Cricetulus griseus: one gene and its partners. The protein of the gene in region 2 binds, or shares a complex with, the protein of the main gene of each other region. Links are inferred from orthologs where the notes say so. Each region holds a gene or a part of one and is shown on either strand. Other genes may lie near its edges.

Region 1 (9,880 bases), on a different chromosome or scaffold from region 2:
AGGAACCCTCCTAACTTTTAGAATGCCTTTGAGGTCAAGGGTAGGATTAGCTGGAGGGGCAGGGTTGGATGAGATCCAGATGAAAGTGGAGTACAATGCTGGGTATGACGTCTTATTCCTACAATCCTAACACCTGGGAGGGTGAGGCAGGATTGTTGTGAATTCAAGGCCAGTTTGGGCTACCCAGTAAGCTCTAGGTCAGTGTGAGCTATCGAGTGAGAACCCCCCAAATCAATCAGGCAACCAACAAAAAAGTAAATGGTAGAGAGTGGCGTCAAGAGAACCCCAGCTCAGGGCACCATCACCCCAGAAAAGAAGATTTGTTTTAGTGACGGGGGAGGGGAGGAACCATTGGTGACCCGTGTAGCCTCAGGCCACAGCAGAAAGTAGCAGTGTTTCAGGGCCTCCAAGGCCTCCAGCGTGGCCATGACTGTCATTTCTTTAGTCAACGGGAGTGGCTTGATGTCTGTGCCCAGGGACATTACTCTGACCTCTCCCCTGACGCTGCCCCCATCATCATCCTCAGTCCTGAGCCCTGGAAGTCTCTGCTTCCTAAGGGTTTCCCAGCCTTCATTCTGGCCTCCAAAGGCAGTGTCCTCATTCTCAGCCATGGCTTACAATCTCTCAATGTCAGTCAGTTGCCTCCAGGACCACATTTCTTTTCTTTTTTTTTAAATTATGTGCAGCCGGGTGTTGGTGGCGCACGCGTTTAATCCCAGCACTCGGGAGGCAGAGGCAGGCAGATCTCTGTGAGTTCGAGGCCAGCCTGGTCTGCAGAGTGAGTGCCAGGACAGGCTCCAAAGCTACACAGAGAAACACTGTCTCGAAAAAAACCAAATATATATATATATATATATATATATATATATATATATATTATGTGCATTGGTGTCTGGTTCCCTGGAACTAGAATTGCAGACAATTGTGAGCTGGGTGCTGGGAATTTAACCTAGGTCCTCTGGAAGAACAGTCAGTGCTCTTAACTGCTAAGCCATCTCTCCAGCCCCAATTTCTTAGTATTTACATCCCACCTTCTCTCTTCAGTGTTTTTCTTCTCACTCATCTTGTACAACCATTTTCCCACCCAAGGGATTGCTCACAAGCCCAATGCTCTCTTACAAACAACTCTGAAGGCGAGGTTACTCCCTACCCCCATCATTGTCATTTGAGAGGAAGCCCAGACAAGCCCTCTTCTAAGGGGATGACCCTGATCTGGCCCAGTTGGTGTTTCTTGTCTTACCCTGGTGCCCAATGCTCCCTTCCCCTGCCTTTCAAATACCATCTAGTCTTCCTATATGTAGGGTTGTCCTTTGCTTCTCTGAGTCCAAGACCCAGCAATAGGGAATTTACAAATACTTGCTATGTAAAGTAGCTGTTGCTAGGTTATATTTTTAGTCTAGAAAACCCTTTACCCCTTGTCTCATGTCTAAGGTCTGCTTAAGCAAACCAAATTAATTGATATCTTCTTCATGAAGAGTTTCCCTCTCCTCATGTTGGAATGGCTCAATGCCTCCACTCTGGGCTTTTGATACCTATCACTTTGTCTCACACTAATGTGTAAAAGCCTCCACACTTTGGACCCTTGACAGTCCTAAAAAGTAGAGGCACCCAATAAACACTCAAGGATATGACCATTGGGATTGTGTACACCAGGCCACAGTTGAAGATGGCTGGGATGTGGGGAGGGTTCCTTTTTCCTTTCAAGTCACATAAAGCAATTGCTCTGTTTGCTTGCAAGGTTAGTTCTCTCTGCAGATGGATGGGAATTGCATTTTGAGGGCTGTTACCATGCCTGGTTTGTTTGTTTATTTATCCATTTGTTTGGTTTGTCAAGACATGGTTTTTCTGGGTGTAGCTTTGCCTATCCTGAAACTTGCTCTGTAGACCGACAAGAGTGACATCAAACTCAGAGATCCACCTGTAGGATTAAAGGTGTGTGCCACCACTGCCTGGCTTTGCTGGCCACAGTTTAATGTTTCGCTTTCTTCAAAGGAAGTTTACTTCAGCTTAGTGCTTAGAACATACCAGAGCTCGTTGTGGATACCAGGAAACCGCTTACTGAGGTCACGGCTGCCTGTGCTGTGGATGAATGGAGAGATGGAAGGGGAACCTGCTCTTGCTTTTGATATAATCCTTCTAGTTCCCAGAGCCCTGGAGGAGCTTCGATCATTGAGGATGGCTTTTGCAGCACCTTTAGTTTGTTTTGGATGAGGGATGCTTCTTAGGACTGAGCCTAGGGCCTTGTGCATGCTAAGCAATCACTGTAGCACTTAGCTGTTTCCCTAATACTACTCTTACTTTGTCAAGGATTTATTTATTTGATTTATTTATTTTTATTTTATGTGTGTGGATGTTTTGCCTGCATATTATGTCTCTGTGCCTTGTGCAGTACCTATGGAAGTCATGGATACATGCATGTTTGTGTACCATGTGCATGTCTTGTGCCTGAATTGTTCAGGAGAGGGCATCAGATCCCCCTTGGAACTGTTGTTACATGGTGTATATCACTAAGTAGTTGCTGGGAGAAACAACATGTGCTCTCAACTACTAAACCCTCTCTAGTCCCTGAAATGTAACTAAAAAAATGTTTTGACATCACAATTAGTAAGAAGGGTTTTGGGTCTATGGAGCTATATCATGGAATTATTGATGTCATTGTTGTTCATTTGCTCTAATCAATGAGTTTCAGAAGTGGATAGTTATTGCTACATTCTATTGTCATCTTATTGGGATTCCCTATATTCTTTATGCCACCAGCTGACAAGTGATGGGCAGACAGGTGGATTTCACAGCCTATATTACTACTGTACAGCACAGCTAAAGACTAGACTTTAATTCTGGTCAAGTTTTTTTTAAGCGTGTTCACTCCAAGTCCCTTGTTTCTGAAGGTTCTGGCCCAAATCTGTGTCTTTTTTTATCTATGATACAAAAACCAAAGTTAGTAACATATCTTTTATTTCTCACAAGTAAAAAAAGTGACTATAACCAGGCAGTGGTGGTACATGCTTTTAATCCCAGTGCTAACCAGGCAGAGGCAGGCAGATCTCTGAGTTTGAGGCCAGCATTGTCTCCAGAGTTTCAGGACAGCTAAGGCTACAGAGAGAAACCCTGTGTCAAAATAAATAAATAAATAAATAATAAAAATAAAAAAAAGGACTCTAAAGTCAGACTTGAGGACTATAAAGTCAGACTTGTATTGACAGTTAAAATGACATTCCATCAAGCACAAAAAACAAGGCAATGCTATTTTTTTGGGGGCAGAGCCTTGAGACTGGGTTTCCTTATGTAGTCCAGGCTGGTTATGAACTTCAAGGAAGCGCCATCATGCCTGGCTCTCTCTATGTAGTTCATCAAAACCAGCTTTCGATACAGGAGACCCTGTAATGAGAGAAGGGGGTGGGGGAAAACAACACCCTACTAGGCAAACAAAGAGTTAAATATTTCCAGTCTGCACACACACGTACTCACTCAGCTTTGCTGGGCTTATCTGTAACTCTAATAGTGAATGGAGTTGGAATCTGAAAGTTCTGGACTGCTTTGTAGTTGTATTTTACTTTATTCATTGAGGGCAGTAAAAGGAAAAAGCAGGTGGAATTATGAACCAGCAGTTCAGCATCTCTCATTTTTTTTTCTTTTCGCCCCCCCCCCCCCGCCTCGCCATCCATTTGGCCGTATTAAACAGCTATGGGTCGGTAGCCAGGCTTCTACATGCTAACGACGCCTCTAAGTGCTTTCGCTCACTCTGAGCCTCCCTCCCTGTTCTCCGTGGAAGCCTGAGTTCGCAGAAGTCTCTCAGTTTCTTCAAGTGTTCGCCAGATTCTGAGCAGCAACAGACTCGGGAAGCCTCGAGTCACGTCGCAACATTGGCTTGAGAATTCTTTTTGCGTCCTATATTAGTCCAGAAAGGTGACGCCGGTATCCGCAGCGCCGTTCCCCGAGGGAACTCCAGCAACACCCACCTCAGGCTCTAACAATTTTGCTTCCTTAGCTGCGTTTGCTAAAGTTGCCTCAAATCTTCCCTATCCTTTTGCCAAAAGAGCGCCAGGTCTCCCTTTGCTCTCCAGCTGGCCCGTGTCAGATCATTGTGAATCGCTGACAGCGGAGAACGGTGTGGTCGTAGGGGACAGCGCAGAGTGACCACCCCTGAATTACGTAACAAAAAACCGTAGCAGCAGCAGAGGGCGAGCCTGACGCTGAGACATTCCAGGGGGAAGGGAGTTGCTGTCCTGGACTAGCCAGTTCCCAGAAACCGACAGGGGAAGGTGGCTGAGATAAAGAAAACACTTCGGGGACAAGAATATTCAACAGCCTCAGAACCTACAGCATTATTAACAATCGGTGAAACACGAGTAGCAATTTCTTGCAGGGAATTGCAGCCTTCCAACTTTTGCACTGAAATACGGGAGGTGTACCCGGAGCGGGGGTGGGGTGGGGAGGTAAAGACGGTGATATATGAAGTCCAAAGCTAATGAATGGGATTTAATGGTTTTGATGGCCCTATGTAAATATTCCTGCTCAGGAGCGCAAACTCTCTGCAGTTATTTAGTAAAGTAGGGGCTCAAACTAAGAGAGAATTCTCTCCCATGTGTGTCCACTAGCCCCAATCAGCAAGGGCGCTACTAACACTGTACTGCCCCTTTAAGACCTGCTCGCTCTCGGGCTCTACAAAAGGGAGTGACCTCTGGGCTTTGACAGCTCCCCTAATAACTACCACCACGTAGGCCCCGCCTACCTGGCGACCAGCCGCGGCGATTGGCCTGCAGGCCGGTATCCCGTGCTCTGATTGGCCTGCCGCTTCCCCTGAGCGAACCTTTAGAACTCTGAGACAGACAATATTCTGTTACATTGTAGCAAAATGGCGACTGTCATTCACAACCCCCTGAAAGCGTAAGTAAGACTAAAAAATGTACATATTCCGCGTGGTTTCAATATGAAAAAAAGGCGCCTTGCGGAGCGCAGCCGGCGCCCGGCTCTTGCAGACGCCTCCCGCTGCGCCCGGGCTCCTCTTTTCTTCTGCTCTTACTTCTTCATCTTTTTTTTTTTTTTTTCCTCCCAGCGCGCAGAAATGTCAGGAGATGCAATTAACAAAAAGAAAATTGTTACATCTGTGTTCTGCTTAATTGACTGACCCGGACCGGGAGGGAGCCCGGAGCGGCGGCGGCGGCTCCGGAGCTGCGGGGGTCTAGAGCAGCTCGGGCTGCACGGTCCCCGGAGTCCTCTGCCTCTCCCGGCACCTCGCGGGGCTGGCCGAGCCCGGTCGGAGCGCGGGGCAGGGGCCGCGTCGTGCGCTCCGCTGAGCCCTGAGCTTCAAGCCCGAGGCTTCCCAGCTCCGCGGCTCGTCGGTCCGCCCGGGCGGGCTGATCAACCGCTGCAGCTGCGGAGTTTGCTGGGCGTTCGCTCTGCCTTCCGAGCTCTCGCAGGGAGTTTGTGCAAACCTTCCGGAGTTGGGAGGACAGCGCGCGGAGCGGCGGGTCTCGGGAGTCCTGGGGCCCAGGTGCTAGCCCCGGGCTTTTCCACTCGAGCAGCCGGGGGATCAGGGAGGCGCTCCGGGCGGTCACCGGTGTGTCTGCGTATTTGTGGGCGAACTGGCGGTAGTAAATTAACGACCTGGATTAACTTGGGGGTTGATGTGGAGGCAGGGAAGCTGCAGGTCTTATGAATGGTGTGTTTGCCTGCTTTGGGTGAAAAGCCGAGGTAGGCGGAGGCGGTTCGGGGCTCTGGCGACAACGAGGGGCAGGTGCCTCCGGGAGACTTTGAGCGGACAGAGGGGGGCGGGCTGCGCGAGGATTCGCGGGGGCCGGTCCCCGGTCGGAGCTGCCTGCCTGCCTGCCTGCCTTCCTTCCTTCCTTCCTTCCTTCCTTCCTTCCTTCCTTCCTTCCTTCCTCCCTCCTTCCTCCCTTCCCTTCCTTCCTTCCCTTCCTTCCCTTTCTTCCTTCCCTTCCCTCCAGTCGGTGAACTGTGAATGTGAAGCCGCCAAGTCCGCGAGCGATCGTGGAGCCGCGGGTGGCCTCGGAAAACTAGTGTGGCTCTCAAGGGGCGCTATTGGCAGGGATGTTGGCAGAGGGTGGATCCCTGGGAATTGCTGCGCGGTGTGGGCTCCGGTCGGTGCCGGTTGTACTAGGACTTCCCCGCCCGGTGAAAGCCTCTGGGAGTAGGAGGGTGCGCGTGGGTGTTTCGTGCCAATTCTTCCCAATTTGTGGCGGTGGTCGACCCTGGCTCTTTTAACTGCCTGCTACAGCGTCCTAACCCGTGGAGTCAAAAACACGGTTCGCTTTGGAGAGCAGCAAGGCAGTGCGGGGGGGATTCCTAGTGCCAAGAAACGCCTAGGGAGAACCCGCTGCGTTTGCACCAGCTAGCAACCAGGAATAGGGCAGGGATGTCCCAGATCTCGGAGTTTCCACGAGATAATGCGGTAAAGAAGACACTGGAGGCTGAGCCTGATGCGAGTTCCTGGCTCCAGTTCTCGCTCGGAAGCTCAGCTACTTTGCACTCGCGACAGCATTTCACCTAAGAGAGAAAATGTTTTATGGCAGAATAAATGGGCGTAACTTCGCCGCGTCCTCGCCGACTCGCGCCGCCACACCGCTGATGCCAGGAGTTTCTCCAGAACCCACACAGCTGATTTGCAATTTCCTCATTTCCAGCCGAAATCACGTAGTCGAGCTGATGCTGCTTGGTAAACTGAAGTCTGAGAGTTCTATTTACTATGTGTATGGGGTTCCTTATTGGGAAAGCGGTCTCCTTGATGCCCGGGAGCGGGCTTACGCTCGGGCGCGCGCAGGAGCTCCACGCTCCAGGGTTCCCCAGATCGTTTCACTTTTTTTTTTTTTTTTTTTTTGACATAGAAGCCTGCGAGTGTAGGGGTAATGGGGGAAGGGACAGAGCAGCAAGAAGGTGGCCAATCTCGGTAGTGAAATTAGTTCTGAATTACACGTGTACTCCTTAATAATTGGAAACACCGTGGGATGCATTTGTAACTCCGTCTTGGCACACACACGTACACGGGAGCTCACACACATCACCACTGCCTGCCTTTCCTAGGAAGGAGTCAAGCCGTCACTTTGTAATTATCCGCCCCCTTTTGCATCCCATCCTCTCCCCCAACCCCTAGGGCTAAGGGTGTAAACAATAACCCCAACGGCCAAGGGTTTTGCAGCCTGGATATTTTAAAAACTCCGCACGCAGGAGCACACGCGTCGTTACTGGGAGACCGACGTCATCTGCTTCTATTATTATTATTATTATTTTTAAAAACTTGTTTAATAAAACATCTTGTATATTTCATTTGTTTTTAGAAGTTGCTGTTCAGGAAACAAAACACACGTGAATAAATTATGCATGGGCTAAATTAGAACAAAGCGCAGCGACACAGCAAGCCGAAGGGATGGATGGGGGCGCAGGGAGGAGGAGCAATGAGAATGGTTTGGAGAGCTTATGTGTTTATCCTTGTGTGCCCCTCCTGACAATGAACCGGAGCTCCAAACCGCATTAGCATTTTCTCCGTGTGCGTGCAGTCTCTCTCGTCTTAAAAAGGCAACACCACGGACGCCCCCTACAGAAACTGGTCACACAAAGATTTCCTCTTGGACTGCGGGATAAGTAGCAGTAGTTAGGGTATGGGGAAAAGCCAGCTCAGGTTTCTTTCATGCAATCTTGTGCAGGGCTCTGCCTTCTTAGACTATGGGTTACTTTTCATCTTGCTAGCCTTTTTTTTTTTTTTTTTTTTTTTTTTTTCCCATGTGGGGCATTCAATAATTCAATTCACTGGGTGACTGGATGGTTAACTTGAATGTCTTTGCTTTGCATAGGGTGGGGGTGGGGGTGGGGGTGGGGGTGGGGGTGGGGGTGTCTTCTGTAGGGTTCCAAGCGCCTGAAAACAGCCTTTCTTGGTAGTTTGCCTTTCTTCCTGGCTATCTTTAATCTCCCCTCAACTCCCCTTGTTGCTTTCACCCTTTCCTCTCTGAAGCTGACAGTCTGGCTTCTCCGTTGTAGCCTTTAACTTCTTGTTACTGCCCAACAGGGTGTGTTAGAGGCAGAAAGAGGAGCTGCCTGGACAGATTAGATCAGAAAGGAGACTCGGCAGGTGGCCCTACAACAAAGTGGTCACATCTGGACAAATATAATTCAAAAGCACGGATGGACATGTGTGGTGTGTAAATGTGTGTTGTGTGCTGTTTAAATTAGCAGCTACATTGTCTGAGTGCAGATTGTTGGAGTCATCCTCAATTTCTGTATACAGAGGTAAGGGCCACAGACGGATTTGAAAAAGGCATGTGTGTGTGAGAGTTACTATTGTATACTTGTTGATTTCTGTATACTTAGGAAATAAATGCTTAAATTAAAAAAAATACTTATTTTAGCTGGGCATGGTGGCACATGCCTTTAATTCCAGCACTTGGAAGCCAGAGGCAGGCAGGTCTCAGTGAGTTCGTGTCCAGACTAGCTACATAGTGAGTTCCAGGACATCCAGAGCTACATAGAGAGAACCTGTTAAAAAATTACTATTTTATGTGTGTATATTTTGATCTGGTGAGGTACTGTTACAAGTGCAAGTGTGTGTGTGTGTGTGTGTGTGTGTATGTATGTGTGTGTTGTCAGAGGACAACTTTGGAGTCATTTCTACTTCTATGAGTTGTGAGGATTGAACTCAGCTCAGACTTGGAAGCAAGCAAGGTTACTTGCTGAGCTATCTCTCCTTTCCTTATAATACTTTTTTTGTAAGTTCTAACCTTAATATTCTAGTTTAGGTAAATCACCTTCCCCCATGTCTGCCAACAGCACTTTAGACAGAGCAATCTCTCAGTGACTTCTCGAAACTCTGGCCATAAGCACTTAAACTGGGAATGCCTGCCACCTTCTGCCAGACTTGATCATGTACATATGTATCTATTTTTATAACTCCAAGCTCAGAGAGGAATAAATGCTATCATTACTTAATTACTCTAGTTAGGGCTTTAATACTTTAATTATTTGATTTTAAACAATGAGAAAAGCAAACTACTTAGTCATGTTTGTCACTATGATTCCATGTACACAGTTGCATCAAAACTTTACTTTGTAAAGAGTTACCCTAGCTTGGAGGTCAGTGCTGTTATTTATGCTTTATTATTAAGGACATAACTCTGAGAGAAGTAAATGTTTACTTAGTCGAGATCCAACATGGCTCATGTGTATAGATGGACCCCAAGTTTTCATCTTCCTATCTGTTCTCTGATGTGGATGATGTGTGTTCTAATCTAAAGTGGGTTTGGGGCACATGAAAGTTAGAAGCCAGACCTTACTCTTGCCGTGGTAGCCAGTTTAGCTATCAGAGAGGAAGGGCCAGGGGGCCACATTCCTGGTGCTAATCTTGTCTTGGCTATTTTCGTTGGGGAGGGGGTGGTGAGTAGGGTTGGGGCTTTGTGAACTTGCAGCCTTTTATGGACATTATTTTAGTCCTTTGTGGAAAAGTAGATGTTTCAGCACTACTATCTCTCTCTGCTTTTACTCATCAGTGTAAAAAAAAAAAAAAAAAAAAAAGGATGTGGGGGAGAGGGATAGCTCACCAGGTAAAAGCACTTGTTGCTCTTCGGAGGACCTGAGTTCGATTCCTAGCACCCACATAGAGCATCTCAAACTGCCTGTAATACAAGTTTGAGGGATTATTTGACACTCTTTTCTGGATTCTGTACACGTACACATGAACACACATACTCTGGACACATACACACACAATCTTTATTGGGGGGGTGTTGAGGCAGGGTTTCTCTGTGACTTTGGAGGTTGTCCCTGAACCAGCTCTTGTAGAGCAGGCTGGTCTCGAATTCACAGAGATCTGCCTGCCTCTGCCTCCCAAGTGCTAGGATCAAAGGCGTGCGCTGCTACCACTGCCTGGCCATAC
Region 2 (9,880 bases):
TGGCAAAAAAACACAGTGGTAACGATGTGTTAGCATTGGGGAAAAGCCAACGAATTAAATATTACCACAGACAACCCTCTGTGTGGATGCGCTGCATAGTGGAGAGGTGTGTGTGGCGTACTGCCTGTGTGTGTGTGTGTCTGTGTGTGTGTGTGTGGCGTACTGCCTGTGTGTGTGTGTGTGTGTGTGTGTGTGTGGCGTGTGTGTGTGTGTGTGTGTGTGTGTGTGTGTGTGTGTGTTGTGTGTTGTGTGTGTGTGTGTGTGTGTGTGTGTGTGTGTCTGTGTGTGTGTTGTGTGTGTGTGTGTGTCTGTGTGTGTGTGTGTGTGTGTGTGTGTGTGTGTGTGTGTGTGTGTGTGTGTGTGTGTGTGTGTGTCTGTGTGTGTGTGTGTGTCTGTGTGTGTGTGAGTGTGTGTGTGTGTCTGTGTGTGTGTGTGTGTGTGAGTGAGTGTGTGTGTGTGTGTGTGTGTGTGGCGTACTGCCTGTGTGTGTGTGTGTGTGTGTGTGTGTGTGTGTGTGTGTGTGTAAGCTAGAGGTCAACTACAAGTGACCTCTAGCTTCTATTTTCCACCTTATTTTTTTAAGACAGTGAACCAGGAGCTTGACATTTCAGATTAGCTGGTTAACAAGTCCCCGGGATCTACCTGTTTCTACTTCCTAGCTCTCGAGTCATAGGTAGAAACTACAACACCCAGGTTTTACATGTGTTCTGAGGATCCAGACTCAGTTCTTCATACTTACATAAGAAACTGAAGTCATCGTCCCAGCCCTACCCACCAGAAATTTAAAGTGGACTCTGTGCCCATCCATAATATCCCACTTCTCATTAAAAAGTAGTTCCAGTAGGGTGGTGGTGGCTCATGTCTTTAACCCCAGCACTCAGAAGGCAAAGGCAGGTGGATCTCTGTGAGTTCAAGGTCAGTGTGGTCTACAAAGTCACACAAACCCTGTCTCGAAAAACCAAACCAAACAAACAAATAAAAAGCAGTTCCAAAGAAGAGAGATTTTGTTGTGGTTGTTTTAATAGCATCACTTTTATAGCTGAGGCAGGCCTGAATACACTATGTAGCCAAGGATGACTTGAACTGTTTTGATCCTCCTGCCTCCACTTCCTAAGTGCCAGGGCACATCATGGCACCTGATTGCAGGGTTATGTTTATCTGAAATTAGGTCTGTCTAGTTCAGTGGAAGACATTCTCCTTCATCCAGGCCAATATAGTGCCAAGGGGCAGTGATAAGTCTATCAAGCCTGGGGAACAGAGCTGACAAGCAGGACAAGTGCTGTTCAAAGTGTGAGTAGAGAGGGCCACAGCACAGGGGAGAACGTGGCACAAGTTGCTTCCTGATGGAAGACACATCAGTTGTGGAGAAACGCACTGTAACAGGGGTGACAATGCGTGAACCAGTCAGGAGTTCAGGAGCCTGACTTACCTGCCTCCCTTCACACTTACCTGATGCCTCTTAACAATGTCTTTTAATTTTCCCAGCAGCTTAGGCTCAATCTCTGGGCACAGGAAAATGTTAGGTCGAGACAGGCAATTATTCTGTGAGGAGGAGAAGTGGATGAGATGAGGAGAGACTGCTTTATATTCTTTCTGCGAAAAGGAAAATGGATGGGAGGAAGGGCTTGAACGTTACCTGTACCAAGGACTTCTCAATGGTCATGAACATTTCTACATTGCGGTCCATGCGAGACGGATTCTGGAAATCGTAACGCCGCCTTGTAAAGGGATGATAATCTAGTAAGTTATAGTTTGTGTGAGGGCACAGGACTCATTTATGTTTTTATTTTATGTATATGGATGTTTCGCCATGTTTGTAAGCACCATGTAAATGCAATGCCTGAGGAGGCCGTAAGAGGTCATTGGATCTCCTGTAACTGGGTTACAGAGGGTTGTGAGCAGCCATGTGGGAGCAGGACCACATCTTCTGCAAGAGCAGCCAGTGCTTTAACCATTGAGCCATGTCTTTAGCCCCAAGGGTACATAACTTGTTTTTTTGTTTTTGTTTTTTTGGTTTTTCAGGATAGAGTTTCTCTGTGTAACAGTCCCAGCTATTCCTGGAACATACTCTGTAGACCAGGCTGGCCTCAAACTCACAGAGATCCACCTGTCTCTGCCTTCTGAGTACAGGGATTAAAGGCTTGTGCCACCAACTCCCAGCTTGGTACAGAACTTCTTAACAATTAGGAGGTAATATTGTCACAAATTTTGCCCAAGTCACAACTGCATGATTCACTCTATGTGTTAAATCAAAAGGACAAAGTTTGAGATGCCAACCTAAAAACCCTCTTCCCAGACACACTGGTTCTTGGGGACTGTTCTGGCTATGCCATCTATTTTTCTGATCTATCAAAATAAAAGACACATAGGATTTCTAATGCGTCCTCTGGCTTCAGAAGGACCCCAGGAAACACTGGGAATTTTCTTTAAACTAAACATGAACAGCAGAGAGAAGGCATCTCACCATCCCTGGTCACTCTTGAATTTGTAGGCAGCTGCCAGAATGTGGCACAGGGATCCTCCTGCTTTGAAATCTAGGAAACATTTGATCTACAAAATAGAGACCAGGAAGAAGTGTGAGTTACATTGTAAATAAAAACCTGCCACAAAAATCCCACTCTGAACTCATCTCCTTCTCAAATGTTTTGTTTTGTTTTGTTTGTTTTTTTGAAACAGGGTTTCTCTGTGTCTTTGGAGGCTGTCCTGAACTAGCTCTTGTAGACCAGGTTGGCCTCGAACTCACAAGAAATCTGCCTGCCTCTGCCTCCCAAGTTCTGGGATTAAAGACATCAGCCACCATTGCCTGCCAGGACACTGTCTTAAAAAGCAAACAGCCAGGCATTGGTGGCTGATGCCTTTAATGCCAGAACTTGGGAGTCAGAGGCAGGCGGATCTCTTGTGAGTTCAAGGCCAGCCTGGTCTACAAGAGCTAGTTCAGGACAGCCTCCAAAGACACAGAGAAACCCTGTCTCGAGAAACAAAACAACAACAAAAAAGAATCCCTGGAGGTATAAGCCACCATGTGGGTACTAGTAATGGTACCCAGATACTCTGCAAGTGCTCTTAACCACTGAGCCATCTCTCCTGCTCCCAAATGTCATACCCTTTTAAACCATAACCATGAGAGACACACCAGAGGACTAAACCCCATATTCTCAGATTACTTGTGGCACAGGGGTTTTCTAAAATAACAGGAATAGCCAGCTGGGGACTAGTTCAAGCTGTAATGCCCTGACTACTAATGACGACAATTACTGTAGGAAATAAACCTACCAAAATTACGAAATTTGAAGAGAAACAAGATGAATTTATTTTTTCTTTTGAGACAGGGTCTCATAACATGGGACACAGTATCAGAACTGCTATGTAAATCAGTTTGGCCTCCAACTTTTGATTCTCCTGCCTCAACCACCCTAATTCTGGGATTCTGTGTACTAGGAAAAGAAAATTTAAAGCAAAACAACAAAAACTCCCTTTCCAGTTTGGAGGATTCGTCCCTTGCACTCACCGGCAGTTTAGTAAGGGGTGCATTGCTGACATGCTTGCCAAAAACCTCTTCCTGAAACTGGAGCAACTGCACAACCAGGCTAGACAGGGACTTGTTGGTCGGTGGTTCTGCTTGTATGTACTGAGGAAGAAGGGAAAGGAAGAGAAACAGATTCTAGACACGCTCTCTACCACCTCCCGTTTCTTTTCCCTGTGTTCTTGGAAGCACCTGGGACAGAGTTGTGCCTTTCTCCTCCACGTTGTCTGTCTATATCAAAAGGGCTCTAGCAGCTCCTGCATTTTACTGTCAGTAGCCCAGGTTGCCAGCACTGGGGACAGACAGCAAGGAACACTTTGCACTCTTATTTAGCTGCACCCCAATGCTGGCATTGCACAACACCCTGATAGCTGGTCACCTCATCCCCAGCAAACAGTTAAAATCTTGAAGCTTTATGAAGTTCAAGGCAAGGCAACAAAAATCCCTTTGAGGCTCTAAGTGACACAACAATGTATTTCTTGGGGGAACACGATAAAAGACCAGGCTTCCACCCATAATGGTATCTTAAGAGAGCAAAGAAGAGAGGCAGGGCAATCTAACTTCAAAACTAAGCCTGTACATTTTGCTTCCACTGAAACCTGACATGATTGTCATTGTAGGGTCTCCTCTCTAGCAAGGAGGGCAGACCACCCACCGGGCCTGAGGATAAGTAGGAAGCCCGACATCTACCTATCCTTTTCTGAGGAAACAATGACCTCAAGCATTTCCCTATGGTGCTACCTGGAATCCTACCTTTCTGTTTTGTTCACTGATCCAAGGAACTAATTTTCTCTTTACCTTTTGACCCTTATTTCCTCTACCCTAATCAGAGTCAGACCTCTCTCGGTGGGAGGTGTCAAAAGATCTGTGAAGGGAGAAGTAGATGACAAAGAGTTCAGCACTTGAAAGCTGAATCGGGTCACAGCTGTCAATCCCCTTGGGGCGATAGACTAAGACCCTTGTCTGGTCTCCCTTCAAAAGGTCAAAAGCAGACTGGGAAGCAGAACCTCATGCTGGGGGTACACACAGGAGTCACAGACCCAACAGCTGTTTGTCAAGAGTCTTGACACCCATAGAGACCCCAACTCAAAGCAGGGTTAGTGGAGAGTTCTGAGGCTGACCACTGTATTCTGACAGGTTGCAAAGCTGGGATAGGAAGAGTTGGGGGCTGTAAAAGAAAATAAGTGGTGGGGGGGGGAACCTTAGGCAGGGGTATCTAGGAAGCAGGCCATATCCAGGAAAAAAAAAAAAAAAAGCCTAGAGACAATGAAAACACCAGAATGAGATTTGGGTTTTTTTTTTGTTGTTGTTGTTGTTGTTTGCTATGTTTTTAAAAACAGGTAGGGCTTCTTGAACCCTTTTGTTCACCACCCTTATTATTTCCAGTTACGGGGTGGGGGTGGGGACTGGCGATATGAAGCTTACCCTATCCTCTGGCCCTCAAAACCCAAGCGACGCTGGCTAGCTAGCTAGCTAGCTAGGCTGGGTTGCAGAGCGACTTTATTGTGAAGCCAAGGGGCCCGATGCCCTGGCCCCCGAGGAGGAGGGAAGGGGATAAAGCCTGGGGGACAGGTGATCCCCCAGGTAGAGACGCTTCCCACGGCCTGTCCCGTGCCTGTCTACCCTCCCGCTTTCTCCGTCTGTCTCTGGACGGATACAAAGCACCGAGGAGGGAGGCCCGGGCCGTGCCGGTACCTGGCTCGGCGGGGAAGCTCCGGCGCGGGGGGTGGGGGAGACACCGCGGCTCGCACACCGGAGGAGAGGAGGCGCGCGGCGGTACCCGGCCGACCGGGTGGCCGGCTCTGGACCGGTTAGCCTCCGGGAGAGCGAGGGCGATCGGGCCCTGGGCCGCCGCCCCGAGCCCCGGGCGAGCCCCGGGCAGAGGGCACAGTGGGGGCGGGGTGGGGAGGGGGCGCGGCGCTGCGCTGCGCGGGGAGGCCGCGGGGAGGGGCGCGGCGCGGCGCGGGGCGGCGAGGCGAGGCTAGGCGAGGCGGCCCGAGGGTGGGCCGGCCCCGGGAGAGCCGCGGCCCGCGAGCCCTTTGTCCCGGCCCGCCAGCCCGGCGTACCTTCTTGTAGTTCTTGCCGAGCCAGAGCCGCACGTTGTCGAACTGGGTCACGGTGTCCGCGGCCTCGTAGTACTTCACGTTGGGGCCGCCGTCCTTCTTCCGCACCGCCATCTTCTCGGGCTCGGGCCCCGCCGCCGCCGCCGCCCGCCCGCCCCGCTCAGCTCAGCTCAGCTCAGCTCCCGCCTCCTCCTCCGCCCGCCTCCCGCCGCCGCCTCCCCGCCACGGCCGCCGCCTCCCGCCGCCTGGGCCGGCCCCGGCCCGCGGGAGCGCCCCCTGCTGGCGGCCCGGCCCGACGCGGCCACAGCGAGCGGGCTCCGGGGCGGTGGCGGCGAGCCTCGCTCGCGGGTGGGTGGCGGCTGCTCCCCGGGGTCCCGCAGCGGGAGTGGGGACCCCATGGGGGACCCCGGTCTACAGGAGCTCCGCCCGCCCCTAACCCCGAGTGGCCCCCATCATGCGCGCTCCCTTCCCTCCAATAAGTCCCTTTCATCTCCTCCCATTCCGCTTTCGACCCCACGGGTGTTCCTGACGCTCCGGGTCCCGGTGCCGCCCAGCATCCCCCGGGGGTCGGGGCTCAGGTGAGGAGGGGGGTCTCTTCCCTCCGTTTGACTTTCCGGTCTTTTTGCCGACTGTCTGTGATTAAGGGATCGGTTTGCGAGCCCGGAGCCCCCGACCCTTCCGGGCCAGGCAGGCGGGATAGGAGGCAGCGGCTCCAGGTGTGCGCCTCGGGGCCGCCACCGCTGCGGGGTCGCACGCGCCTCCCTCGGGCGCCGCCCGGACCCTTTCTGTAAGCGCGCGGCGGAGCATGGTTTTGGGAGTCACGGTGGCCGAGTGGTTAAGGCGTTGGACTCGAAATCCAATGGGGTTTCCCCGCACAGGTTCGAATCCTGTTCGTGACGACATTCTCTGTTCCTTTTTTTTTTCCTCCGCCCCCGCCAGCCCCCCACCCCCATCTAAATGTGGAAGTGAAAAGATCGCATCGCTTCATTAGGTTAGGTGGGGGTAACATAGAAACTGATCGATGCACAGCTGTTCTGGCTGCTAGGTCACCAGGCAGTTTGAGAGATCTGTAACGATTCATGAGATAATGAAAGATTTGGGTGAAGATTTGTTTTGTTTGGGAATGTGTGTGTTGTGCAATGATAGTTAGTGGTGAAATTTCTAGGGAAAGAGGGCGTCTTGGAGATTTGTGACTAGAAGTCACACATGGAAGTCTTATGACACTGGAGACCGGAGAAACAAGCATTCCCTCATTTGGATGTTTAAGTTTGAGACAGGACCTCATGTATCCAGACTGCCCTTGAACTTGGACAGTAGCTAAGACTACCTTGAACTTTTTTCTGATCTTCCTGCCCTATGTTTCCAAGTGCTGGAGTTACAGGTGTGCTCACACACACCAGGTTCATGTCTTGTTGCTGAATCCAGGGGTTCAGGTGTATGCCAGGCAAGCATTCTCTGTTGAGTTGTGTTCCCTAGCCCACATTTGAAATTTCTTGAGATTAACTTCAGGTATGACAACAGGCCTAGAAGGAGGCCTATTGAAACTTAACCACTGCAGATGGTATTAGTACACGTTAGGTACCAGAAACAAGTTAAAATCTCCATGTACATTATTAACCAAACTAGGAAACTTGTCCTTTTCAACCTCTTACCCTTTCACCTTCCCTAGTGTTTGCAGGCTACTTGTTCTTTTTGTATTTCATGTCTTACATAGCGCAATCTTCTCCGAGAAGGAGCTCTGCGAATTCATGGAGCTGTCTATGTGTTGGTACGGGTTTCCCACCTTCATATGGCTGGCTCGCTGCTTCCCTGGCACCCCGATTAGCACAATGTCTAGCCTCACCCCCATCACTAAGTCCTCTGCATACCACAGGCTAGTCCTCCAGCTGGAACCTATCACTATCCCAGCACCAATGAGTTTCATGCAAGGAATCTTTCTGTTTGCTTTGTTTGTTTAGCTTTGTGAGACAAAGTTTCTCCTGTAACAGTCCTGGCTGTCCTGAAACTCGCTCTGTAGACCAGGCTGGTCTCAAACTCACGGAGATCCACCTGCCTCTGCCTCTTGAGAGCTGAGATTAAAGGTGTGTGCCACCACCCGTCAGTTGTTCGTTTGCTTTTTGAGGCAGTTTCACTGTAGTTCAGGGTGGCCTGCTGCAACTCAAACTCATGGCAGTCTTTCTAACTTGGTGCTCTGACTGCAAGATTACATGTTTGAGTCATCACACCCACCTTGCAGGGAATCTCTTTTTCCACAAAAAAACAAATTCTATTTATTCCCCCTTCTAAGTATGTTTTAAATCAGCTCAGTTTTCTCAGGGATGAGTGTGTAGTGGGCCTACCACTTGTCAGTCTTTTGAGAAGTTGCATATCTAGTGCATGTCTTTAATCCCAGCACTTGGAAGGCAGAGACAGGAGGATCTCTGGGAGTTCAAAGCCAGCCTGGTCTACAGAGTGAGTTCCATCCAGGATAGCCAGACCTAAGAAGTGAGACCCTGTTTGGGTCTATTGAGGCAGCCACACGACGACTAACCTTAACCCCTGTCATGGCTGTTTGTATGCCATGATGTAACCCTTAACCACTCTTAGCCGGTTTTTAACTAGATTCCATCCCCTGGTTATCTGGCCTTGTCTGGGCTGTTCTGTGTTGACACATCCTTACCTCCTCGATCTCCTCTGGTTGAATGTGATGTCTCCTGTACAATCTCAGCAGTTGGGAAGATTGCTTTTGGTTCAAGGTGAGGCTGAGTTGCCCTGACAACCTCTTTCAGTAAGGACTGGAGATGCAGCCCAGCTGGTGGAGTACTAGACTATGTGAAGCCTTGGGCTGAGTCCCTAGAACTATGTGAACTGCTACACACCTGTAATCCCAGCACTCTGGAGGTGGAAGCGGGAAGACTGGATGTTCAAAATCATCTTATGATACATAGCAAGTTTGAGGCTCTCCTATGCTACATGAGATCCTGGCTCAAAAAAAAAAAAAAAAAAAAAACCTTTCTGATCACCTGTTCCCCCTAATTGTACAGGAAGTCTTTCCTCTTCACACTCAAGTCTTCGACCTTGCTGTGTGAATGAATGTATTCGAGTTTTCATCTGCATTCAAACTGGACTGTAGGTGTTCTGAGAGTTAGGATTTTTTTTTTTAAATCTCTTCAACAAGGCTTTAAACATAGTTGTGATCACAGTAACTAACAGAATTCCATTCTTTTTTTTTTTTTTTTTTTTTTTGGCCTGCTTTCCTATTAAACTATTTGGAGAGCCAAAAGAAGAAATGACCAGCAGAGGGCAGTCAACAACCATCTTGTGAAGGGAAGAAGGCCCCAGTTTACAAAATGGAGGCTGCAGAGGGAAGGGACCTCCACAAGACTGGGAGCACTTGAAGACCATCCCTTCCACTCTCAAGATTCTTCCTTTAGAACTTTTAGGTGTGAGGCAGCAGGGTGCCTAACCTGTGGGTCCAACAGATACTTAGGATTTCTAGTTAGGCATGGTGGCACACCATTGTAATCCCAGCAAAGACAAGACTCAGGCAGGAGGATCATGAATCAGAGGTTAACTTGGGCTACATATTAAGTTCAAGGCCAGCCAAAAAAAATTTTAAATTATTTTTATTATGGAGGCAGATAGAGCTATTCTTCTGTCCTGACTGCCCAGTCCCAAATAATCGCACAAAAAAGCTTGTATTAATTATAGGATGATGGACCTATCGCTCAGGCTTGTTATTAACTAGCTCTTACAACTTAAATTAACCCGTTTTTATTACTCTACACTTTGCCATGTGGCTTGTGGCTTTACCTGCTGTCTAGCACATCTGGCACATCTTGTTCCTCTGGCACCTAGCTCACATCTCTCTCAAATCCACCCTTCTTTCTTCCTGCACCTGTTTGGCTTTCCCGCCTAGTCTTATTCAGCATGGCTATAGGCCAATTCAGCTTCATTATTAACCAGTGAGAAGAATACGTATTTACAGCATACAGAGGACTATCCCACGGCATTGTACACTTACTCTTTACTCTTCTACCCTTGTTTCTACCCCAACAGTCTCCTTGTGACTCCGTGTTGAGTGAGCTGTCCCCCTCCCTGCTCTTGGATATTTACATCCACTCAGTGTTTTAGTTCTCCGCTCGTCTCCAATTTATCTTCACTGAGATTGACAACCCTGCTCATTCTGGCCTCCTGTGAATCTTCCATAACACCTCTGTCTTAGGGTTTCAAGCTGTGAGGAACACCACCACCAAAAGCAAGCTGGGGAGGAAAGGGTCTATTTGGCTTAGGCTTCCATATCACCGTCCATCAT
Region 3 (9,780 bases), on a different chromosome or scaffold from region 2:
GGGAGCACTCAGTGCAACCCCCAGAGATGCTGGTTCTCCAAAGGCAATAAGGGGCAGCTCGGTCTGGGTCTATGCTGCTCACCCAGGAAACACAAATTCCCTTTTTCTTTCCTTCTTTAAAAAACAAACAGAAAAGAATATATATATATATTTATTTTTTCATGTAGAGTTGTGCCAGAACAAGTTTGAATGGCCACGATTTGTGGATTCCCCAACCCCAGGGTCGAGACATGCCCCCATGGGCTGGGGGTCAGTGAGAGGACCCAGAGGGATGTGGGGGCAGCAGGTAGGGACCAGTTGGCAGCATAGAGTGAGTCCAGAGCCATGGCTAGATGGCCCAGCCCTCAGCCCAGGACCCTTCACCTTCTCTTCTGACCTCCAGAGAAGGGCTCTGAGACCACACACTCCAGATGTGCCAGGCTGGAGGGCAGGAGGGTACCCACGGCTCCCTATGACCCGCCTCTGGCTCTGGGGAACCCCGGGTTGTGAGGGAGCAGCCTGCCATGTCCTCCACCCACCGTGGAATGATGGTGGCGGGCCAGGCTACCCAGTGCCCTCAGCCCTGGCCAGTTACTGTGACGTCCCTCCTCTCCTGATCCCCTTTCTGAAGGGTTCTCCAGCCTCTGCCCCTCCCCCTTCCCTCGACCGGACCTGGAGCCTGCCCCTCCCATCCTCCACCCCTCCCTTCCTCCCTCCCTCCCTCTCTTTCTTTAATGTGTCTCCTCGAATCTTCAGATCATTCAAATCATTTTGGGGACCTAATCATGTACATTGACAATTGTAAATTAATAATTTTTGGTTTTGTTCTATTATTTTTGTAAGAATTTCTGCAAAAAAAAAGTATTTAATTTGAGGTTGATATTCCATCTGATGGCTGGAGATAGCAGCAGGTTTTTTTTTCCATGTTGATTTGTTCCATTTGGATTTTTTTATCATTCTTTATTGTCTCCCCCCATCCCTGTCTTGAGATTTCTGGCATGTTTCAGGAGGTTTCAAAGGAAATAAACGTTTCATAGAAATGGCTGGTGTGCTCACAGGCAGCTGCCTGAAAATCGGCGCAGGCTCCCTTAAACGCATGTCACACCCCTGCAGTACAGCATACACTTACCAGCCCTTACAGCTTTTCCTTGGCATCCAGACAACACAAATCTGCCCCTCAGGATGTAGAATTGTGCTAAAGTTTAAAAAAAAAAAAAAAAAAAAGCTAGGTCTACAGGGTGGGCATGGTAACACACGCCCTTAATACCAGAACTCAGGAGGCAAGGCAGGTGGATCTCTGAGTCTGAACCAGGCTGCTTGAAATAGCAAGTTCCAGGCTAGCTATGGCTACACTCTGAGACCCTGTCTCAAAAGGGGGAGGCGGTGGTCGGCTTCTAATCCTAGCGCTCTGAGGCTGGGGCAGGAGGATCCCTGAGAGTTCAAGGCCAGGCAGCCTGGACTCTCCAGCAAGAGCCTACCTCCCCAGAGACTGGAAAAAGCTGGTGGTGTTGGCGCACACCTGTAATCCCAGCTCTTGAAGGGAGGGGGCATCAGGAATTCACAGTCATCCTCAGCTCTATAGCAAGCTATCCCCAAGATAAGTGGTAATAATCCTTTTTAAAAAACAAACAAAAAAAAAAAACTTCTGGACTAGAAGTAGCTCAGTGGTTAAGAGCACCAGCTACTCTTCCAGAGGAGCACTAATGTCCAGCTGCCACATGGCAGCTCACAACTCCAGACCCAAGGGACCCTATTCCTTTTTCTGATGTTTTAAGGAAAAAAAAAAAAAAAAAAAAAAAAAAAACGGCAAAACAAGAAAGTCCACGCCTTGAATCCCAGCCCTTGGCAGGCAGAGGCACCCCGATCTCTGAGTTTGAGGCCAGCCTGGTCTACTGGAGTTCCAGGACAGCCAGGGCCATGTAGACCCTGTCTCAAAACCAACAAAAACACAGGATTTCAGGTAAAATAAAACTATCCTAATCTGTGGGACTCAAAAATCAAAGTCCCTACCCCATAAGGGCCCCACCTGCTGCAAGCCACACCTCTTCATCTCCACCTCATTTGCTTACTCTGCCCCGCCCACTGAGCCCCACTGTGGCATGCATGGACTTCCCTCTGCCATCAGTCCAGGAGTGGCTTGCAGTGGAGACCAGCCCCAGGCCTCTAGGGGTCAGAGGTAGGAATTACGTGATGAAGCTCCCTCTGCATCCACAAGGGAAGTGTCACCAACACACTCCTGAGACCACGGCCAGGATCAGGTTCTCTGTGGCCCTCCTGGAGGCAAGGTGGGGGCAATTTAAAACTCCGTCTGTGGACACTGAGGCAAACTGATTTCAGACTCAGGAATTCCACGGGAAGATCCCAAGGACCCACTTCCCGAGGGAACACCGCTTCTCTGAACAGGACTTCACCCCCCACAACTAGCTGTCCTTGGCCTCTTTGTGTATGAGTTCAACTCTGGCCCTCTCCGCACCCCTGCCCCCTAAAAATGTCTCCCGAAAGGGTTTGCATCTATCCAGTGGAGAATCAGGCCCTCCCAGCTACTCAGACATCCTCACTCTGCACCCTCCTCGGGGCCCCATCCTCCAGCCCTGCCCTCCCCCCACCAGCCCGGGCCAAGCCGGGAGGAGGGAACCTGGGAACAAACTGTTCTCACATCCTCTCCTGGCCCGGGAGACACACCAACCACCATCTCCCAACACCCCACAACTCACAGGCGCACCCGCAAGCGCACGCCAAGCCCTGATGGCGCCTGCGCTGCCAATAGTCCCTTCCCTCCTTGCCCCAGTTATTCCTGCCCCCCCTCCCCCACCTCTTCTTAGCTTGCCACTCTATCTCTGGCCTCAGCTGGCTGGCACTCCAGATTTCTGTTGTCCCCCACCCCACCCAGTTTTTTTTTTTTTTTTTTAAGAGAAGGCTCACAGTGTAGCCAAGGAGACCTACAGGTCACCATCCTCCTGCCTCAGCCTCCAATGCTGGGATTCTGAGCCACACGGTTTGCTACCATTGCCTTCTAACCAGAAAACACCACCCACCTACCCCCTCATCGCTGTCTATTGTTGCCTGCCTTTTGCTTCCTCCTGACTTGGTAAATTTTCTGCTTCTCTCTCCAAAATGCTGTCCACTTCACCCTCCCCTGGTCTTGCCAGAGCCTGGCCTTTTTTTTTTTTTTTTTTTTTTTTTAAATTTCTGGACTAGTCCTCCATCCTTGTCTCTGTTCTCTTCCCTTGGAATTCTTGGGGGGGGGGGGGCTCTCTCTTCATCTGTGTATCTCTCCGGCTTTGTCCTTTATTCATTCAGTAAATTTGTGACCTCAGAATCCTCCCCCTTCCTGATCAGTGCCCTGGTTCTCCACGCTCACCCCCCACCCCCACCCCCACCCCATGTCTCCTTGAGTCCCTGTATTTCGAGATGTGCTCCTGCCCATCTCCAACTTTAGCCACACCCAGGGCAGGGAATCCCAGGTGACAACCAGCCACGCTGGGGTGCCATCTCCTCACCACAGCCCGGGAGGGGGCTGCCTTCGGGTCTCTCCAGCCCTCCCTTCCCCCCAGCCCGCACTCCCACCTCCCTCTTTGAGCTGCCTCCCGCTGCAGCTGCAGCAGCCCGTTGCTAGGGCAACCACAGCTGGCTGGGTGGGAGCCCCTCACCCCATCCCCCTCTTCTCTGCAGCAAGACAGGGAGGAGCTGGGACAAAGCCAGAGGGAGGCAGGGTGTAGGGGCAAGGGGGTGCGGGCCGGCCACAGTGCTTTCTACCCCAATGAGGCCTCTTGGCTCCCCATCTTGGTGACACCCCAAAGGATGTTAGAGAAGGAGGCAGTCGTGGGTAGAGGGGTCAGGCCCAGTTTAATACACAGAACAAGTTAATTCACAGCAGAGGCAGGCAATAAAGGAGACTTGGTGGCAAGGGGGGCACTCCTGGATTGGGGGTAGACTCCCCCAGACCCTCCGCCTCCCCCACTTGCCGTCTCAATTTCCCTTTTTAAAACCCGAACAACAAACACACACAACCACAAGAAACAACCACACCCCCTCACCACCCCCAAAATGGCTGGATGGGAGGGGGCAGCAGGAGGCAGCCCGGCCTGGCCGGGTAGGGAAGGGGCTGAGAAGAGAGGGAAAAAAATGAGTCCATTGCAATCTGTGCTTCTCGCTGCAGCGGGCTGGCTGCCTGCCTGCCTGCCTGCCTCGCCCCACCGGCCTCCCCCAGCTGCATGCCCCAGGCCTGGCAGGCACCGGGTGGGCGCAGGGTGGGGCTGTCAAGGAGGGGCAGGAAGAGTTCAAAACCATGGTTTCACATCATGCAGTATCCACGGTGGGTCCTGGGGGAGGGCAGTGGGTGGGCACATCGCCCACCTGGCCTGGGTGTGAGGAAGGAATGGTACCCACCTCAGATGGGGGAGTTGAGACAATTGCAACCCCAGAATCGGGGCAGGGAGGGGCCAGTCAGGAAACCGGTAACATTGGTACCCAGCAGACACTCCGCTGTGCCCCTCCACCCAGCCAGGCTTTATAGGACTCTTTGTATATATTAATTTCCTTTTTTTTTTTTTACTTTTTGTCTTTTTCTTTAGAAAAAGGCTTTTCCGTGCCCCCAGATGGCATCCACTACCCCCCTATGCCCGCCCAGAGGCGGGGTATGGCTTTGAGGGGAGCAGAAGCCCCTGGTGCCCATTTGCCAAGGGATGGAGGGGGGCAGGAGGAGCCTTACAGGACCCACCCACCCACAGGGTAACATTCCACTTGCAGAAGAACGCCTTGGTCCCCTCCGTGCTCCACCGCCTCCCTCCCCCTGGGGACACCGGGTGGGAAGAGCCAGGAGCTCCTCGAGGCAGGAAAGTTAGCACCACCCAAAGGTCCTGGAGAAGCAGAGCCAGGCCTAAGTGAGGGTGATGTAGGCAGAGGCCTTCTCTTTCAAGTGCCGAAGACAGAGGTGGCAACTCCAGCTCCCTGCGGGGGAAGCCACAAGACAAAATTAGACTCAAACCGAAGAAGGGCGCCCCCCACCTGTCCCCACCCAGAGCACATGGTCTCTGCCACCAGGAAGACAGAGTTCCAACCCACCCACCCCATGTCTCTCAAACCTCTTCCCTCACCTTCCGGGGGCTCCGCCATGGGAGGGTTCAAGCAGTACATATGGTAACCCCGATCGCAGTCATCACAGAACAGCAACTGGTCCTGGGGGGTGAGACCCGCCCAGCTGGCACCCTGGGGGCATGGGCACCAGAAACCGGGGTGGGGGGGCTGGGGCAGGGGCTAGGTCCCCAGGGGCTCTTCTGAGAGAGCTGGCTCTCCAGTCTGTACTGTGGAGCCCACTGGCCTTGCTTGTCGTCTGGATTTTGTAACTACAGAATACGGAATGATGTTCAGGGGCCCAAAGCAGCTTGGGAGCCACGAGTACACATACATAGGTTCAAATCCTGGCCCTGCCATGTTCTCAGCGTGGTGGCCTCTCAGGCATCACTCTCCCTCCCTGAGCTCAGCAGCCTCTTCTATGTGTAGTGGGAACAACAACAGCAGCCTCAAGGGAGGTTGGGAGGTGTCAGACGGGAAGGGTGTACAGAGACAGGCTCCAGTCAAGGGGCGCTGGTGACAACAGTAACGGATGCTACTGCTGGTCACCCAGGGGCGATGAGCAAGGAAGGCTTTAGGCTTCACGGGCAAAAGCAGCGCAGCCAGGCTGGAGGGGCAGCGGAGGTGTGCCCCGGGAGGTGGGGCAGGCAGGTACTCACGTCGTTCTCCGAGGTGCCACACAGACTGCAAGACTTGCATTCAATGCACTGCCAACGGTAAGTCCGCACCGCTGCGGTCATGTTCACCGTGAACTGTAAACACGAGGGATGCCCTGGGGACCGAGGGGCAGGGGTGCAGTTAGCAGGTCGTTGTACCCCTGGGGAAGTAATGGCTCTATCCCCCACCCCTGACTCAGAGGTCAAGATGAGCTTGGTGGTGGGGACCCTACCCCCAAGACAGACAGACATCCGGAAGCAGGACTGCTGGCAAGCAGCTGTGTGTCGGCCACCACAGTCTCCTACTCAGCCACCATGACAACCACACTCTGCTCCCCAGAATACCATGGCAACCGCATTCCATTACCCACGGTGCTGTGGCAACCGCGTCCTACCACCCACAACACTGTGGCAACCACAGTCTGTTAAAGCACCTCACTCGCACTCGGCGGCCACATTCCAATACCCACAGCAGAGCGGCGGCCAGCCCTCATGTTAACCCCAGCAACGTGGCAGCCGCCTTCTCCCAGCCAGGATGCTATAGCAACCGCTTCCATGAAACCAAAGGCCATGCCACACAAGGCACCAGCAAACAAACCGCCACTGACAATAAATACTTTCAGTGTTAGTCTGTTCTCCCAAAGCAGCACAGACACACCTGTGGCCACTGCACACAGCACTTCCCACAGCGCCCAACACCCACAGCCACTGTCCACAGAGCCCGACAGCCACTGCCCATAACACCCAACAGTTACAACTACTTCCCACAGAGCCAGACACCAACAGCCCACACAGCCTGACAGCCAGAGCTACTGCCCACACTGCCCAAAGGCCAGTAGCCACGTCCCCACAGCCACTACCCATGGCATCTCACAGCCATGGTCCACCATGCCGTAACAATCACATTCCGTTGTATTAAATTGCCAAGACAACCCATACTGCAACAACCACAATCCATTACCCATGCTACTACCCATGAGACCTCCATGAGAAACCACATTCTATTAACCACAGTTCTAGTCTGTTCTCTACAGCAACCAGGTGGTGCAATTCATTACTCCCGTACCTCAGTCCCCCTACCCACAATGCCTCTGCGGCTTCTGTCCATTCTCCATACCAGGAAGACACAAAGCCATGACACCTCATACTGTTCCTACATTGATCCCGCTCAGCTTCCCACAGTCCTTAGCAGCAGGGGCAGCCCCTAGGCTCTGCCAAACTACTGTGCCCTGGGGTCTTTACTCCCTTGCCTCCCATTCCCCAAATTTGAATTCTGGGGTGTCCCCTCCCCTGCATCTTCCAGGAAAATGTGGTGAGTGTCACCTGATCGCCCACAATCTGCACAGGAGATGAGGTCCTCGGGACACCCAGTCTTCTTGGAGCCCCCCAGGCAAAAGTCACAGTAGCCATTGGGGATGACAGTGCCGTCTGGTGCTTTCTTGGCTGAAAGACAGCAGGCAGCGGTGGGCACGGGACAGGTGGGCACCCTAGTCAAAGACTGCTGCAAACGTCAGGGTGGAGGGAGGTGCCCCTACCTGTGTGTTTCCTCTGTGCCTCAGGGACCCAGGCCAATTCTTTGTAAAACTCTGGGGGTGGGGGGACAGAAAGGGGCTCTTACTATAGGCAAGGTCCCATCTGTCCCCAGCCTCAGCCCCAGGGGTGGACTTTTGGCCCAGGCACTGGGAAGCAGCAAAAACAGCTGGGGAAGGGGCAAATCTCACCCAAACTTGGCGTAACTCTATGTTCTCTTTATTTGGGTGAGTGTGGGCAAGAGGTATAACCTTAGCAAAAGACCATGACTGCCTCCCCGTCACGTGTGTGCACCCTCAAGTCAGCTTGCCTGGCTGGGCCACCAGTTAGCAGGCAGTTCTGCAAGACCTGGTAAGGAGACCTATTCAGGAGGACACAAGAGCACAGGAGGTTCTGGGCCTGGCCTGAGGCTGCTGAGGAGCTCACTCTGAGGGGCAGGTGAGAGACAGCTCCCTTCCCCCATGGCTCAGCTGTCATGGCATGGAACGGGTGTGGGTGGGTGTCAAGAACCCTGGGGGCCACAGACCTTGCCCCTGGACCTAGCATAGCAGAGAAGGGAAAAAGGGAGGCCCAGAGAGGGAGAGGAGTTATCTATCACCCCCCCCAAGCTCTAATTGAAACAATAAATCAGACCCAGAAATATTATGCCCGGGCAGGGAGTGAGGGAGAGAATGAGAGAGAGAGAGAGAGAGAGAGAGAGAGAGAGAGAGAGAGAGAGAGAGAGATGGTTGGTTGTCATGGCAACCCCAGAGCCAGCATCCCTATGGTCGGTGGGGGAGGGAACCGTTAGGCTGGAGATTTTCCAGAAATGTCTAATGAGCCCCCACCTCCCTTCCCCAGCCACTACCAGGCTCCATTGCCCCCACCGCACACCCAGGCATCTCCCCCACCAGCCCTGGCCCTCCAACTCACGTTTATGGTTGTTTTTCCGGTGGAAAGGCAGGGCGTGGCGCTCAGTGTGCTCCTCCCCCTCCTCCTCAGCCAGGTGGGTGTGGGTGTAATGGTAGCTGAGCCCTGGTCGGTTTTTATACCTCTTCCCACAGACTGAAGAGTGAGTGAGTGGGTAGTTGTCAGACACCAAGGCCGCCGCCTCCACCCTGGCCTCCAGGATCATACCATCCATCCCCTCTCCCAAAGAACACTCCCTTTCCCCAAGAGCCATTACCAGAACAAGGGCCATAATGTGTGAGGTCACTGGGCGCCCCGCACCCCGCACCCCCCACCCCCGCCCGCTTCCTCTCTCTTTCCCCTCTGCAGAACTCACTATCACAGACGTACGGCTTGTCTCGGTCCTCCAGGGAAGCAGTGTCCTGGCGTTTCCTAAGACCGCCAATGCCATATGCCTGCAAGGAGGAGGGTTAGGAGTAAGGAGCCCAGAAAACCAGGGAAAGGCTCCTCATTCTTGGGTTTTTTTGAGTTTGGTTGTTGTTGCTGTCAGAGGCAGGGTCTCACTGTGTAGCCCTGGCTGTCCTGGAACTCACTATGTAGAAGAGGCTGGCCATGCAGTGACCTTCTGCCTCTGGATTATGGGTTTGCTGCCATGCTTTATTGGGCTTCTTCACTTAGACTTGAAAGTCAAACTGGAAAACAATTTAATTTTCTTTTCAGTCTTGGGGTTTGGCTCAGTGATAGAGCAGTTGTCATGTGAGTATGAAACTCTGGGTTCCATCTGCACCCCACAACAGCAAGTCAACCTGCACATGAAACTGAGCAAACTTTCTAGCTATAAGTCTTCGACTTCTCTCAGTACAAACATGAAGATAATTCTTTTTGTCGTTGCTGTTTGGCTGTCCCTGGCTGTCCTGGAGCTCACTATATAGATCAGACTGGCCTTGAACTCACAGAGATCCTCTTTTCTTGGCCTCTCTAGTGCTGAGATTAAAGGTGTGCTCTAACACATTTTTATTGCTTTTACTGGAGATTTTTGTTTTGGTTTTGTTTTGCTTGTGACAGGGTTTCTCTTAGTAGCCCTAGCTGTCCCGGAACTCACTCTGTAGACCAGGCTAGCCTCAAACTCACAGAGATCCCACCTGCCTCTGCCTCCTGAGTGCTGGCATAAAGGGCATCCAGTAGAAGATTTTGGGTTGTTCTGTGTTGTGTGTACGGGAGGGAGTGGTTATTTGGGTGGTTGGTTTGGGTTAGAATTTTTTTTTTATTTCTCTTTGCACAGGGTCTCTGGTATGTAGTTTAGAATAGTCTGGAATTCACTTGTCTCAAACTTGAGGCAGCTCTCCTGCCTCAGCCTCCCAGGCACTGGGACTCTGTGTGTGGAGGACCACACCCAGCTCTGCAGACAGGTCTGATCCACAGCGCAAGCTTTTTTTTTTTGGAAATGTTTATAATCCACTGAGTCTCTACTCCTACATACAGCTCTGGGGAGGAGGTGGTGGGGAGAAGCTTCCGGAAGATACCTTTCCTTTGGCCCTGTTCTTCCTCCTGGGAATGTCTTCCTCCAAGTCTTCTACCTCGAGATCATGCGGAAACTCCAGCAACTGCTGTTTCTGGGCCCAGTAGAAGGGAGATTGGGGGGTCAAGAAGGTGG

Evidence for each region.
Region 1: Smarcc2 (region 2) and Dpf3 share a complex: the UniProt entries of both Homo sapiens proteins name them as parts of the BAF complex. The link is inferred for Cricetulus griseus from reciprocal best matches to the Homo sapiens genes SMARCC2 and DPF3.
Region 3: Smarcc2 (region 2) and zinc finger protein neuro-d4 share a complex: the UniProt entries of both Homo sapiens proteins name them as parts of the neuron-specific chromatin remodeling complex. The link is inferred for Cricetulus griseus from reciprocal best matches to the Homo sapiens genes SMARCC2 and DPF1.

Annotation. Positions count from the first base shown.
Region 1 is NC_048598.1:120,232,122-120,242,001, forward strand, and holds the start of Dpf3 (zinc finger protein DPF3), read left to right. Parts: upstream 1-4,786; 5' UTR 4,787-4,855; coding exon 4,856-4,887; intron 4,888-9,880. UniProt on the Homo sapiens protein: Belongs to the neuron-specific chromatin remodeling complex (nBAF complex).
Region 2 is NW_023276806.1:129,429,880-129,439,759, forward strand, and holds the start of Smarcc2 (SWI/SNF complex subunit SMARCC2), read right to left. Parts: upstream 5,751-9,880; 5' UTR 5,701-5,750; coding exon 5,590-5,700; intron 3,629-5,589; coding exon 3,509-3,628; intron 2,551-3,508; coding exon 2,465-2,550; intron 1,719-2,464; coding exon 1,637-1,718; intron 1,543-1,636; coding exon 1,450-1,542; intron 1-1,449. UniProt on the Homo sapiens protein: Involved in transcriptional activation and repression of select genes by chromatin remodeling (alteration of DNA-nucleosome topology).
Region 3 is NC_048602.1:6,510,175-6,519,954, forward strand, and holds the end of zinc finger protein neuro-d4, read right to left. Parts: intron 9,740-9,780; coding exon 9,650-9,739; intron 8,582-9,649; coding exon 8,503-8,581; intron 8,283-8,502; coding exon 8,151-8,282; intron 7,295-8,150; coding exon 7,244-7,294; intron 7,152-7,243; coding exon 7,032-7,151; intron 5,825-7,031; coding exon 5,712-5,824; intron 5,188-5,711; coding exon 5,076-5,187; intron 4,930-5,075; coding exon 4,859-4,929; 3' UTR 3,803-4,858; downstream 1-3,802. UniProt on the Homo sapiens protein: May have an important role in developing neurons by participating in regulation of cell survival, possibly as a neurospecific transcription factor. Belongs to the neuron-specific chromatin remodeling complex (nBAF complex).